2 linked regions of the Solanum lycopersicum genome follow. The protein of the gene in region 2 interacts with the protein of the main gene of each other region in a pairwise test. Links are inferred from orthologs where the notes say so. Each region holds a gene or a part of one and is shown on either strand. Other genes may lie near its edges.

What was found. The genes of interacting proteins can lie anywhere in the genome.
Region 1: the proteins of BEL1-like homeodomain protein 9 (region 2) and T6 interact in binary tests that used the Arabidopsis thaliana proteins (3 or more experiments, as listed by UniProt). The link is inferred for Solanum lycopersicum from reciprocal best matches to the Arabidopsis thaliana genes RPL and STM.

The regions. Positions count from the first base shown.
Region 1 is NC_090801.1:61,368,383-61,376,897, forward strand, and holds the start of T6 (homeobox protein knotted-1-like LET6), read left to right. Parts: upstream 1-3,803; 5' UTR 3,804-4,102; coding exon 4,103-4,453; intron 4,454-4,695; coding exon 4,696-4,960; intron 4,961-7,693; coding exon of another isoform or gene 7,694-7,699; coding exon 7,700-7,944; intron 7,945-8,363; coding exon 8,364-8,515. UniProt on the Arabidopsis thaliana protein: Required for shoot apical meristem (SAM) formation during embryogenesis. Negatively regulates ASYMMETRIC LEAVES1 (AS1) and ASYMMETRIC LEAVES2 (AS2 or LBD6). Probably binds to the DNA sequence 5'-TGAC-3'. Binds to RNA.
Region 2 is NC_090808.1:5,208,272-5,215,734, forward strand, and holds the end of BEL1-like homeodomain protein 9, read right to left. Parts: coding exon 7,271-7,463; intron 4,822-7,270; coding exon 4,478-4,821; intron 3,549-4,477; coding exon 3,488-3,548; intron 3,377-3,487; coding exon 2,828-3,376; 3' UTR 2,576-2,827; downstream 1-2,575. Other genes in the region: F-box/LRR-repeat protein 14, read left to right, coding at 1-415.

The sequences.
Region 1 (8,515 bases), on a different chromosome or scaffold from region 2:
TATAAAGTCATTTTTTCAATGAAAATTACGCGGTTAAATAAACTTATATTATTTGATTATATTATATCGTATAGGCTAAATTTGAGTTCGTATATGTATAATTTGATATTAATAATTTTTTGTTTGATTTGTATTTGTATGTTATGATTTGTATTTGTATATGACGATAATTTCATTTGATTTTTTAGTTTTGTCATCATATACATTGAATCTTTTTGTGTATAACTTTTTAAAATTTCTATAAACGTAGTTTTCAAATTTTGTATAATATGATCTACATAATGTCATTTGTATAGTATATTTTGTATAATTGTATAAAGTTCATATGTGTTTTGTTTGTATCAAATCATTATTTCAAGTTTTATTATATTTGTATAACTACAGATTTTATATTACTCAATTATACAAAAACATACAATATATCCAAACATACCTGCAAATTACAAAAACCAGATGCGAATTATACAAATTATTGTTCTCTCACGCTTGTCTTTCTCCTCCTTCTCCCAATCTCGCTTGCCTCTCTCCTTAGTCTCGCTAGCCACTCTTCTTCCTATAACATGTAACTGAAATTGTAATTAATTAATTTATAGTTGTGGAGCATAATTAAACTATTTTTCAGTAGCTATATGCGAAAGTTTCCATTTTTAAAAATTATATATATATATATATATATATATATATAGTTATATTCAACTCATATTTTAATTAAAATTTAGGTGTCTTTATAAACGCGCATTAATCAAAGTATAAGCATGAGATTTTACAGATTAGTAAGCTAGCGTTTGACCATAATATCTGGGAAATATATTTCACATTTTTAGAAAAATATGTTTTATACCCATAAGTTTTAAAAATTATCAAAACTAACTATAAGTTTGTATTACAAGTCAATTGGATATTCGTTGCAACAATAACAAATAATGCCCATGACACTAGAGCAATGTGATAGTTTGGAGGGAATGCAACAAACATCATTCCATAAGTCATGAAACAATTTTTCATCAACAACCATATAATCATTTAATGTTCACTGAATATTGCATCACTACTTTGGTGTTTACGTAAAAAATTATTTAATACAACACAAACAACTACTATAAAAGGGTGTTTTTGTTAAAGATAAAAGTTTGGAGTAAAATTTTAATTTTAAGAAGATCCCAAAATAATGAGATTTGGTCCAAATACTAGAAAAAAATAGTATTTAAGAATTTGAAATATTTGTTAAATAATGACAAATTGTAAATAAAATTATTTATCAAATTTTTCCCAAAATATTATTTGAGAAATCTATAGCCAAATGAGTCCTAAATGAGAAGACATACTTAAAATGATTAATTTGTATATGTAATGAACACTTAAAAATTCGTTGAAAATTAAATATATTTAGTATAAAGAGTTTATCAAGTATTTAAATACTCCTTGAATAAATTGTAATTTGAATATCTCAATAAAATTTATTATTTACTACCAATAATTTTGAATGTACAGAATAGGGTATTAAATTAAAGGAAAAATTCTCTTCCCTAGAAAATTTGTCCCGAATAATATCTTAAGTATGTTATTTATCTTCTTAAATATTTTCGTTCATTGACTTTAATAATTTTTAATAAAAAATAGAAAAAAGTTAGTTAATTTTAAAATAAAAAATATTTATAACTTTTTAAATTTCTAAATCAGATTCTGACAAAAAGTTCTAGCTATTTAGTGTGGATAAAACTTATCCGCATAAGATGTTTATACATCAATTCAATATATGCATGTCATGTCATGTGTTAAAATTTATTTTTCATTTTACTTCATGAAGTTACAAATGAAAATTGTGATAATTAGACGAAAATATTCGATACAAATAATTATTTTTCTATTTAACCTCAATTAAAGACCTCAAAAACTAAATACTAGTTATGTAGATTGGGTTGAAGATTCTTTTGGGGTGGGGTACGTAGCATTTTCCATTAAAGTGAGTAAAAACAATGCGAGGCAAAGTGTCCAAGTTACATTTTTTTCATTGAAATGGAAATAGGTGGGGGTTATAGTAATCTACACAAACCAAGAAAATGCCATAAGATAATAATGGCACTGAAGGCACCAAAAATATATATAAATAAAATGAACAGAATATCTGTGAATGAAGTGTGTTGTTTGTCAATAATAGGAAACTAAATTATATATTTGTCTATCGGAGTATGAAATACATCAAATATCATTTCTTATTTCATTTTTCATGTATAACTAGAACAAGAAAAAGACAATAAAGTTATAAATAGTTCCCTATCCCAATAGGGTAAATCTTTCTTCAAATATTTTTATTCTAAACAACTCGTTAGATTTTTTTTTCCTTTTCATTTATTCAAGAATTTTAACCTGAACTTTTTTTTTAAAAAAAAGAAAACTATTAAATTTTCCCTTAAAATAATTAAAATATCCTTAAAATTATTACTTAAAAAATTATAAATACTAAAAAACATATACACAAAAGATTACGACAGAAGATATATGGAATGGAAGAGATTTAGCATCACAATTTGGAAAGAGTATTTTGAAAATTAGAAAAAAAAAATTGGGATAAAAGTTTCTCGAAGATGCAAATAAAAAGTCAAGAAATTAATCTATTCCAAATTGATTAAAATATATTTTATCAAATTTAAAATATTTATAAATGAAAATTTATACATTAAACATGACCAACTTATGATTTTGTCTGATTTTAATGTTTTTTAGGTGATTAGCAATCTAAGTAATTTATTTTGAAAGTGCTTATAAAATTAAGATGGAAATTTGAAAATATCAGTTTTTGAAGTTTGAATGGTGTGTGAAATATTTTTGTAGGATTTAAAACAATACATAGGATAAGTGAAATGAAATTTCATCCAAATTTATGTAAATTGTCAAAAATTGATTAAAGTTTATGAACAAAAAACAATTTGTAATTTCTTTAAAAATTCTTCCTCCAAAATCTAGAGAAAATGTCATTGACGGTTTCTTAACTATTCGAGTAGGGTTTAAATAGTTTCTTAACTATTCATTTATAGGATTTAATCTTTCTAATTGCTCAAAATATTAATATATTTGATCTTTTAACTATTTACTTACCGATCGATTTTGGTCAGACCTACCATAGAGCTTAGTCTCTTAAAGATGTGAATCTCAAGATTTTCTACTGCTATATCCACTCACATCACAATTCACACCTTTGTTGTGCGTCTATTTTTTTCCCCTCTCCCTCTAAAAAAGATAAGTTTTCTTCACGTTTTATTCTTGAAAAGTAGTATTTTTGTTAATTTACTACTAGTATAATATAATGTGTACGCTAATCTAATTTTTAATATAAAATAATGATATAAAGTTTAATTTAGTGGTTGAAAGAAGAAGCAAAGCAAAAAGAATCATATTCAATTAAGGGACAAATAGGTCTCAAGTTATAATATTGGTAAGGAACTCTCACTCTTGTCTGTTTTCCAATAACCCAAAAACCAAGAAACACATAAAAACACAGAAGAAATTACACTGCACCTCGATTTGATCATTCTAATCTAAAAATAAAAATTAAACTGTATATCTCTCTCTCACTAGGAGAGGAGGGATATTGGCAGATAATGACAGTGTTTCAGTGGCAGTGAAGAAAAAAGGGGTATGAGTTTTCATTGGGAAGGTAAAAATTTTGCACCCAAATACAAGCTAACCCTTTAACATGTTCATGTTTTTCATAGTCTTTGCTTCTTGCTACAACACTATAGAGAGAAAAAAAAAAGAAAAGAAAAGTGAACAATACACTGTTTTTTACTAATTATTTTTTAGAAAAAGAAAAAAGGAATATTGTGTGTTTGCTTTTTTTTCTGACTAGTAGTATTGCTAACTATGTATTCCATTAAGGATTTGCTGTGAAAAAGCCTGATATCAGTAAGCATAAAACTCGGGAGATCACTTACACACACACACCCTCGTAAAAAAGAGAAGAGAGATTTACTGTTAAACAGAGGTTTTTTTCCATTTCTTTTTTTTTTCTCAGTGTGTGTGAGAGAGAGAGATGGTTTTCATAGGCAAAAACAAATAGAAAGGAACAAAATTTAGAGTGAAGAAGAAAGTGTGTGAGAGAATAATGGAGGGTGGTTCTAGTGGAAATACTAGTACATCTTGTTTAATGATGATGGGATATGGAGATCATGAGAACAACAACAACAACAATGGAAATGGTAATGGAAATGGAAATGGAAATGTAACAATTTGTGCTCCTCCAATGATGATGATGATGCCTCCTCCTCCTCCTTCTTTAACTAACAATAACAATGCAGAAACAAGCAGCAACAACATCCTTTTTCTTCCTTTCATGGACAACAACAACAATAATCCTCAAGAAGACAACAACTCTTCTTCTTCTTCCATCAAGTCAAAGATTATGGCTCATCCTCACTACCATCGTCTCTTGACTGCTTATCTCAATTGTCAAAAGGTGAAATTCACCCCCCCCCCAATTAACACCAACAAAAAAAAATTCATTTTTTTTTCAACAATTCAAAGATTATATTTTTTAACATGGGTTTTAGTATTTCTTGAAATTTTGATGATTTTTTCTACCTTGAAAGTGACTCTCTGCAACAATTCAATAAAAAACCCTGAAAACAAAATCATGTGTGTGAAAGGGACAGTAGCTGAAAAAACCTAGTTTTTTTTTCTTCTTTTTAACAACTGCAGATAGGAGCTCCGCCAGAAGTGGTGGCAAGGCTAGAGGAAATATGTGCCACGTCAGCAACAATGGGCCGTAGCAGTAGTAGTAGTGGTGGTGGAATCATTGGAGAAGATCCTGCACTAGATCAGTTCATGGAGGCTTATTGTGAGATGCTGACAAAATATGAACAAGAACTCTCAAAACCCTTCAAGGAAGCCATGGTTTTTCTTTCAAGAATTGAGTGTCAGTTCAAAGCTTTAACTCTTGCACCTAATTCTTCTCATGAATCTGGTGAGATATATATATATCAAATTTTTTTTCTTCATTTCTTAAAATGGTGACATTTATTCTTTTCAGATCCTAACTGTTTACTTGAGTTTATTCTTTTATAAATTAATGTCCTCTGCATGTGCATGTTTCCAATGATATCAGTCATTAATTAATTATTATGTACTAATAAAATAAGCTCAATTCCATATGCAGACCATTTATTTTCAATTTTTTATCAATTTACTCTACCTTCTTGTATTTCACAATGATTTTTTAAAATAGTTTTGTTTCTGTCTCAATATTCAATGAAATACATCTGCCAGGGATACTACCTGGAATTTATATTAAAGAAAAAGAATAATTATCTTATTTTGGTTCTTGTTCTACATGTTCATAATATTTGTGTGGTGCTAGTTGTAAGTGTAAACAGCAAGATATATTTGTCCCTTGTTAATCATTTCAAACTGGATGCTTGTGTATGCTGAATAAACTCAACTTGTCTTGTTCTTTATTTGGAATGACCCTGGGAAATATGTCTTTCTTGTTCCAGCTTTTTTCCCCTACTATTCATGTGCAGGTTTTGTTTGTTCTATCATGTGCCAATCACAGATTAATTGATGACTAGCTCAAGATATAATAATGTATTAACCCTAGTTTTCTGTATTGAAGCTGCATATATTATGATGGTGAATATGAATTTCAAAATTATATTACTTTGGTTTTACTTCTGACACTCTATGAAGTAAATTTTTTGATTCTCTTGTGTTGAGGGTCTTTTGTAAGTATACTGAGGTAGAAAGGGAGGGGGTGGCGGAGATAGCTATATACCAACCAGTCTTAGGTGATTTTGCACGTTGGATACACCAGTTTGTTGTTGTAAGGAGCAGATTATTACATTATCTTTCTTTTGATCAAGTCTTTTTCAACATAAGCTTTCATTTGAATTCAATTTATGTGTGGGTGTTATGTTTCTCAAAGTTAGTTGAGTTTATGTTTCATGCTTTGATTGTTTAAAATATAAGACTTTTGAGTTTTGGAAAAGGTTATTCATTCCATGTTTCTCTCGTTAATTGTGTTGATTGGTAACCCCACAAATTAACGTCAAGTAATCTTTATATTACTGGAATCACTCTCTATAACTATTATTGTTGCTAAGTAGTAGTGTTTTTGATGATTTTAAATCTATTAGGTATTTGGAAAGATGTGCTGAATTAGTTGGTTGTCTTGGAAATGGTTCATAACTACGAATGCTTAAATGTTACACCGTATAAGCTAAATAAACACTGAAAAAGGAACTTCCATCTAATGGCAATAGTTTGTATGTATTTGGATTTCAATCTGTATTTGTTTAACTTGGAAAGCTCCAATCCATCTTAGCAAGCACTTAAGTTTCATATATGGTCTGTGAAGAAGTCCTTGATCGGCTGAACGATTAGCTGTATCGCACAAATAGTTACAATCTTTCGACATAATTCCATGAGGTCCCTCTTTTAGACACTTTAAAAGAATAGAAAGATACAAGACAAAATTGAGAAATGCACCTTCCTTTTAGTGAGACCCATAAAATACTCTTGATTAGATTTGGAGCTTTTATTGGATTGTATCATATAACCTACTTGATGTGTTATACTTTTGTTTAAGTCATTGGATTATGTAGTTGGTGTTTTTTCATCAATACATCTTTTTTTTTTAATTACTCTTTTGAGTTTATTTCCTTTTTTTAGGGTGCAAATATCTAGTCGAATGTATTTCGGAATTCAAAGGATTCATCTTGGTGAATACGGCTTGCTTAGTTTGATCTAATTGTATATTTGTTCATATGCTTATTGACAAGTGTTTCCTTAATCAGCTAAATTTCTTTGGAAGTTTCTTTGCTTGGACTTTTTTATTCACATAATAGACAAAACATAGCAAACTTGTGAAGTTAATAATCTATAGGTACTCAATGGAGTCTTTAATGGGATAAAGAAGACGAAATTTGTTGAGTAGCTGTTGGGTTTCTGAAGGACCCACTGATTTAAAAAACTGAATCTTGAGGAGTCTAAAAGAAGCGAGGGCTTAACTGCTTGCAATTACGAGACAACTGAAGAAATTGGCTTTTTTTGGACTTAATTGCAACATGGATAGTTACTCTCATGTGTATTTTTTGATAAGTAGTAAATAGTAACGGGTCGTTTGGTGAGAAGGATACAAATAATTAGCGTGGGATAATAAAATAGTGATGGTATTAGAATTTTGTTTTTTGGTTGTCATGCTTGGGATAACTTATCTCACTATATTCACCATAGTGATTAGACCCATGGTGGGATAAATTATCCCAGAATACTAATTTGTTCCCAACCAAACGACTCTTGATAGTTCTCAAGTATATAGGGGTAGTTAAGTTTCTCATAAAATTTATAAGCTTCTTATTCTCTGCCTAGATTTAGTGTGAGTTATGAATCGCTTTGTTGTTTTTGATTGTATTAACTCTAGCATATTTTTGTTACTCTTCTTGTGTAAGAAACTACTGAGAAGTTTCCAAATGCCTAAGAGCAAAATGATTTATGTTAGCCTGTAGTGTTGGCTAATCTAACGTGCCAAACTTTTGATCACGTCCCAAGAGAACCAGCTGAGTACTCATACTCAAAGCTTATCTCGTATCCTAGTAGCTAGTGATTTTTACTATAATGTTATTATAAGCCAAGTTATATTCTCAACTATAGTTGTTCCTTTTTTTCTTGGAGAATGGTTATGCTAATTTAAGTCTTAAAGGTGTAGCTTTGGGCGAGGCAATGGATAGAAATGGATCATCTGATGAAGAGGTTGACGTGAATAACAGTTTCATCGACCCCCAGGCTGAGGATAGAGAGCTCAAAGGTCAATTGTTGCGTAAGTACAGCGGTTACTTGGGAAGCCTTAAGCAGGAGTTCATGAAGAAGAGGAAGAAAGGCAAGCTGCCTAAGGAAGCAAGGCAACAATTGGTGGATTGGTGGCTTAGACATATTAAATGGCCATATCCATCGGTATGATCCTCCTTCATTCCTATTAATAACTTCACTTCTTGACTCTATACACTCTGTTAATTTCACCTTATGTCCCTTAGTAATCCATACAAAAAGAATGACACTCTTAAATTTTAAAACATAATGTTACGGGTGCACGAAGTTTTCGCTTGGTCTTCATTCTGAATTAAAGCTAATATCACTTAAATTAGAAAAGTAAAAGTATTGCTTTTCTAAATTGTTAAATAAATCAGTCCTTAGCTCAATATCTACATATTAATTCTACTCTACTAGGATGATCACTTCATTGTAAGACCATATATTGTTTTTCGCTTGCCTTATCAGACAAGGTTGTGATGTGTGTCCATCTTATATACAATAATGACAATGCATAGTTATTTTACGCGGTCAAGTTACATTGCGCGATTCTTGGTTTACAGGAATCTCAGAAGCTTGCACTAGCTGAATCAACGGGATTGGACCAGAAGCAAATAAACAACTGGTTTATCAATCAAAGAAAGAGGCATTGGAAACCATCAGAAGATATGCAGTTTGTTGTGATGGATGCTGCTCATCCACATTACTATATGGA
Region 2 (7,463 bases):
TAGGTTGTCTTTCTCTGATGGAGAGTTCCCTTCATTTTCTTCCTTTACTTTGAATGGAATACTTATGTTAATACAAATGTGTCCAATAAGAGAACTCGCTCTTGACCATGTGTATTCTTTTGACGATATTGGAATGCTAGCTCTTCGTTCAGCAGAATATCTCCAAATCTTGGAACTTGTAAGGTGCCAAGAAATCACTGATGATGGAATGCAGCTTGCTAGCCAAATTCCTCAATTATGTACATTACGGTTGAGGAAGTGTTTGGGAGTGACCGATGATGGGTTGAAACCTCTCGTCGGGGCTTACAAGTTAGACTTTTTGGTTGTAGAGGATTGTCCACAGATATCAGAAAGGGGAGTTCAAGGAGCTGCAAAGTCTGTCACATTCAAGCAAGATTTGTCATGGATGTACTAAGCTTTCCCATTATACAAGTATTTTTCCAGATGTTTTACAGGTTAGGTTGTTTCGTCTAATTACGACTTTTTGTACAGTCATTTTGTTTTTCATAACATTTCTGTAATCTGCAACACAGAATTACCTATGTCCACATGCATGTTGCATAATAAAGACTAATTTGAGTGTTTGTTTCCTATGCTTCGGAAGCACTTCCTCATTCCAAGGAGGTGAGACCACTAGAGTAACAACTTGTTATGTTAAGGGTGTCTCATTTCGTGTATCATTTTATTTGTGTATATATATATGGTACGCCAATATGAGTAAAGTTGCGTACACATCACCCAACCAAACTCACAGTTGTAGGATGTGTTGTTCCTGCTTCCATTCTCAATGGACTATGAAGCATCTAATATCTTGTCACTACTTTCTACTAGGAGTTTGCCTTGTGGATACAAAAAGTTTAAGAAATAATTCTACTTCAAATGGAGCTATACTAACTGCCTTAGTTTTTTTACAATTTTCAGTTGTAATTCTTGTTTAACATCAATCCATTACTTTGCCAAATGAAATATCCACTTTTATCTTACTTAAGAGAAATGCACTCATATTTTTATAATATTAACAATAATATTTTTATAATGGCTCTTCTAACGCTCTAAAGCTACTATTTACTTTTACAGCCCTTAAAAAGGAAAAAAGAAAAAAGACAATAATTATTAAGATACTGCACCAAATGGTGTACAGAAACAAATGATTACAAAGCATCTCAATTATATTCTCATCCATAAGATGTATACTTCGCATATGTGAATTTGTTTAATTGGATTAAAAATGTTTTTAAAAAGTTATTACTTCGTTCGTTTAACAAAGAATGTCTCTATTTTCTTTTTAATTTGTTTTTTTTTTAAAAAATGATTCTTTTTTTTTGGCAACATTTTAATTTTAAGTTTCCACGTGGCATGTTTAAGATCACAAGATTAAAACATTTAATATAACTTTAATTTAGAATCACAAGATTAAAAGTTTCTTTCTTTTCTTAAACTCTGTTTCAAATTAAATTAGGTTATTTTTTTTTAAATAAATAAATTATAAAAATTTATATGATTATAAGTCATTTTAATATATGTAAAAATGAAAATTTATAATCAATTTATTTATAAAATAAATTAAAAGAGAACAGTAATATCGAAACGAAAAGCAAAGAAAGCAATCGATAATTATATGTTTCAATTATTTTAAGGAAAAATAATGAGAAAATTAAAGGCCCACCCCACCCACTAGAAAAAGTTAAAATGGGGAATTAAAAAAACTTTTAAGTACTGCTCCCTTTATAAAAGATTCCCAAATTTCTTTAGGAAGAAGACATTTTATTTAGTGACACAGAACTTATTAGTTAAAAAAGAAAGGTAAAAAAAGAGAGAGGACAGATTGAAATGATTGTTCAATGGAAAGCTGCTCAAAAAAAGAAAAACATGCAACCAAAACAAACAAAGATAGCTCATGCATAAAGCAACCTCCATCATTGAGCCAAGAAGCAAAAAATGACAAACCGAGGAGCTAGATACGCGGTCTTTCAGATTATTTCGCCTTTAAAAAAAAATAAAAAGAAATAGCATAACTTGTAGTCACTTTCTTAGTAATTAGTTCGAGTGGATGAAAAAGAAATAATGAATTTCAGAATATCTAAATTTGTTTTCCTTAGCTAATTTCATTAGAAAAGTTGTTTTTCCTCTTCATTTAAGGGAATTGTTTTGCTATAGATTAAAAAAATATTTTCTATAACACAAAACATAAAAATTGAAAAATATTTTAAACAAACACACCCATATAAATACATTTTTCTTTTTCTTGTTTCCCAAAATAACAATGTGTTGTTTGAATCACATAATCAACTTTATAAATACATCTTCTTTTTCTTTAGTTAGCTATATATGTTGTTTGGGACTCTTAATATCAAATGCATGAATATGTTAGCATATATACACACAATATGCCCAAAAAAACTAGACATGATAATTTTAAATCATTCGATTCGAGCCAAAATAAATTAAATCTACTATAATATCCATATAAAATGATATAAATATATTTTATGTTATACTTTTTTCAGTCAAAGATCTTCCTTATGATTATCCTCGAAAGAACTTTATTCAAATAAAAATAAGCATAAATCTTCCATTCTACTAAAGAATATATATATATATACTAAGTTAAATAATGTAAACAATTTTTACTAGCAAAACAAAGACACATGAAATTGAAATGTATCTTCTAAAATCAAGAACCTTGTGATCAACCTCCAATTTAATTTACACCTCATAACTGTTTGGACGAAACAACAGAGCAAGTATTAATAGCATACAACAAAATATAACCTTTCGAATATATCCAAAAATAACGATGTCACACTAGACGTCCTGCTTTGTTCATTCAACCAGCAAAATCATGCAAGAATTGCCCACCAACCATACTATTATTTCTTCCAAATTGTCCATTTTGTTCATCAAATCCACCAAAAATAACCCTTCCACTACTCGTACTACTATCGATACCAAAACGTCTAGCTGCATTCATCGGAAATGGCTCCGATAAACCAATATTACCGGAGTTCTGATGAAGCCCTAACGTTAACGATACACCACCACCAACTCCAGTTGACAAATTTCCATAGGATAAATTTATTGAATCCGCGATTCTTCCAATATTATTGGGAATATTTGTTAACTCATTTCGAGTTCGTTTAGATGGAAGGTCTTGTAATCTTGATGTTGATGTAGATGGTGTATTACTTTCACATGCATTTGAATTACTCATAGGAAAATGTTCAATTGGATTATTACTATCGTTGTTGTTGTTGTTGTTAGGTCCTTCTCTATGTGAAGAAGATTTATTATGACCTTCTCGAGTTTCAAGCATGTGAATCTCTTCTACCATAGGTTTCCAAAGTCTTACTCTCGCGTTGATGAACCAATTAGAAACCTAAGCATATGTGTTATCATATTATTAATTCGATAAAAATTATAACTAACATGTTATAACACGTTAAAACTATATTAATTAGTGTAAAAATATGTTTGAAAATGTACAAACCTGATTTCTTGAGAGTCCAGTTTGTTTGGCTAACATAACTTTATCAGTGTCCGTGGGGTAACTGCAATAAAATCAAGTAATATGATTTTAATACTGTTAAATCATCTAAAAGATATAATTGCAAATGAACTTTATATGATAAGTAAAATTAGCTAATAAGATATTATAACGGTAAATTATAGTCCAAAATGTGTGCCAGTATCTGTCCATGTAAGTTAAATCTTCTTTTGAATAGAGCAGTGATACTTTTTCCGTTTTAATTGATACGTTCTAGTAATTCTTGAATTTTATGTTTTTAAACTAAAATATATATTTATGAATATACTCTTTTCATCTCAAATCATTTCTCGAGAGTCAAACTATGTAAAACTTTGACCAATGTTTTAAAACACAGTTTTTCATCAAATTGCAATGAAAATTGCAACTCGTAATATTTTTCATATAGTTTTTAAAAATTTATATTTTAATTGTAATAGATGAAGTTGATCTAATCAAATTCAACTTTGAAGATTAGTCAAGTTAACTATCCATGAAGTGAAACACGACAACTGATTTGGGACAGAGTGAGTACCAAAATGTTTTTGTGTAGTCTTAGAGTGTGTTTAGTATGAAGGAAAACATTTTCTGAAAAATTATTTTCAATTTCAAATTTTTATTTTTATACTCCTACACCCCACCCGGTTGGCCCCCGTACCCACCCCCTACCAGCCCCCACCTACCCCCAACCCCTCAAAAAGTTAATTTTATTCATAAATTAAACACACAGAAAATATTTTCTACTCATCAACCAAACATGATAAAATAAGTCCAAAATCTACTTGTTTTTTAGAAAAACATTTTCTAGGAAAACGTTTTCCATGGAAAACATTTTTCTTCGTACCAAACACACCCTTAAACATATCAAGTTAACCGTATTAGAGTTAAAAAAGTAACTATATATAAATAATTTGATTAAATAAAAGAAAGTAAGACACATAAATTGATACTTACGGGTGAAGAAAATGGTCAAACAACCAAGCCCTAAGTACAGTGACAGCACGTTCAGGAAGCCCTCTTTGTGGTCTCCAAACAGGTTGAGTTTCTTGTCTTTGGCAATAAATTCCTTTGCCAGAAATTCCAACTCCTCTTTCACAATTAATTTGACCATGTGAAGATTTTCTTGTTGTAAATTGAAGTTGGTCAATTATGGCATCTTTAAGGCATTTGAAGTGTTTTGACATAGTTTTTATAGCTACGTTTGCAAATGGTGCTGCATTTCCAAGTCCAGCAACTGATTCAAATGATGCCACAACCATTTGTAGTTGCTCATGATATTGCTTGTACTTATGGTATACCTGCAAAATAACCACAACTCGTCGTTAAAGATTTTAGCAACTCTGAACACATTGATATCAATTCAATTGCTGCTAGAAGGAAAATTTGTTGTTATCGAATGTCCCTTTTGTTGTAGTGAACATAATTAAGTAAATATGTGTTGAATGTGAGTCATCAATATGAGATAGCCGGTTGATTTGTCAAATCATCGTTTAACTACTAGTTGTTATTATAGAAAATTATATTTACGTTCTAATTTTAGTTGTGCATAAATAAACACTGATATACTTATACAAAATTGAACACAAGTAAGTTACATATCGCACGAGACACTCAAATTGAAAAAATATTATAATAGAATCTTGAATCCATACGTTTCGATATGAAAGTAACTAGATTTATTAGAAGGAATTCTAACCTTTATACATAAACAACAATTACCACTTCAGTATAATCCAACCAAGTAAGATTTGAGAAAAAAAGTGTACGTAATCATAACTTTATGTAGAATATAGAAAAATTATTTTTGACAAAGTCTTAACTCAAAAAACAAACAATCCAATATAAAATTACCTTTTATACGATAAAAATATAAAATTAAATTAGACTACTACATACAAGTTCAAAAAACTATCAATAAATACAAAAGAAGTTTCAATTTAAATTTTTTATTGCTGCACAAATATCTTATATCATACTTAAGCGCACTAATTCTAAAATTTATATTTTTCGTTTAAGGTTAATTAAATTATATCACACGCTAAAAAAAGAAAAGAGGAGTATTTAGAATTTTCTTATCTATAATTGAGTAGGACACTTTAATTAAGGCACCAATTTTTGTGCATATATTCCCTAAATCACCTTTTCCCAAAAAGAAAAATTAGTGATTTATAAGAACCTGTACGCCTATATCACATAGGCATCTAGCCTGTGTAGCCTTTAATTCAATAATAAATTACACTATAAAATATCATTTAGTATATCTAATATAGGTAACAAATATTTTTTTATTACTACCATTTTAACTAAAAAAAGATTTATCACAAAATAATTACTCCCTACCTTTCTTTTTACTTATTCTTCTAAACGTTGTACCCTCCCTCGAAAATTACGATGGAGGATATTATTAAATAAATAAAAAGTGTTCTTTTTAATAATTTAAATTTTTAGGTAAGATAATCATACACTTTAACATGATATCAGAGCAGAATTGTACTTGACTATTAATTTTGACAATAGCCTACAAGAATGAATGATGTTTAAGGGAAATCAATTAACTCGTTTATTAAGTAAAAATATTTTAATAAATTATATTTTATTTTTTTGTAATTTTTTAATGAGCATGAAAAAAGTAAAAGCAATATTTGGAAGTAATATTAAAATGCTAAAAAGCTTCTAAATACCCAAAAAAATCTCATAGTGCATATTTGTACGGACATTAACGATAACTCATCACTTTAAAGAATCTCTTCTTTTTTTTTTTTTTTTAATTTTAACATATAGTATATGCTAGAAAAAGAAAAGCATTGGAGTTTTCATAGACAACAGCTGGATAAGAATCATAAGAAAAAAAGTGTAAAAAGTTAGGCAGTTGGATAATATATTTGGTTTGAATTTAAAAATTACTAATAAAATATAGTTTTATTAGTAAAATTAAAATTAAAAAATATATATAACTACTTTTTTTTTGAAATATTTTACTCAAAAAAATTTCAAATTATGATGGCTATACTTTTAAAACTTACCAAAAAGACTTGAGTAATTGCAAGCAAAGTCAATGGAGAAAAATATATGGTTCTATAATTAATGCAGAAACAAGCTAACTCTGAACTCCCCTCCCTACCACACATTCAATAAAAATTAAACTTTTTCCACAAAGAGAAAAAAATAAATCAAGCTAAGAAGAAAAATGTGAACATTAAAATTGAATAATCGGGTGCATAAATCATTCCGCATTCACAAATAGTTTAAAAGAAGAGTCGCACACTAGACACTACACCGGAGATCTATTATAAGAAAGTTGTGAATTACATTAAAATTCGTACGAAAATTTATAAAAAAATAAATTTCTTATAAATTTCAAAATACCTTTATTATATAATTAACACTTTTTTTTGTAACGTGAAATATATACCATTTATCCTAATTCAAATACAAATGTCTCTATTCACAACTAAAACACATAATTTATATGTTTCACAAAAAACAACTTTATCAATACTCAAAGTTTTACTTTTGATGTTATTAGCAATATCCTCCTAATTCAATTTGGTTTGACAAAAATATCATCATCAAACGCGAAGTCTCAAAGTTTGAATCTTGAAAATGAAAAAACATAAAATTCTATTAGTTGAATCTCAAAGCGAATATCAAATATCGAATTAGAAAAACAAGAATGTAGAAATACCAAAATTAAGAACCCTCATGACTATATGTATAAAAAGGAAAAATAATTAATAAAAGGTGTACCTCATCAAGCATTGAAATTAACCTTGATTTCTTTTTCCCAAATTGTTCCTCTCCATTAGTAAAACCTTGTGGAGTATCCATCATCAAATTAGAAGCATCATCATTACTATCATCAACATAAATCCCTTTAGTAACATGACACAATTCATCCAACAAAATCTGTGCTGGTTTCAAAAACTTTGATCTCTTTAAA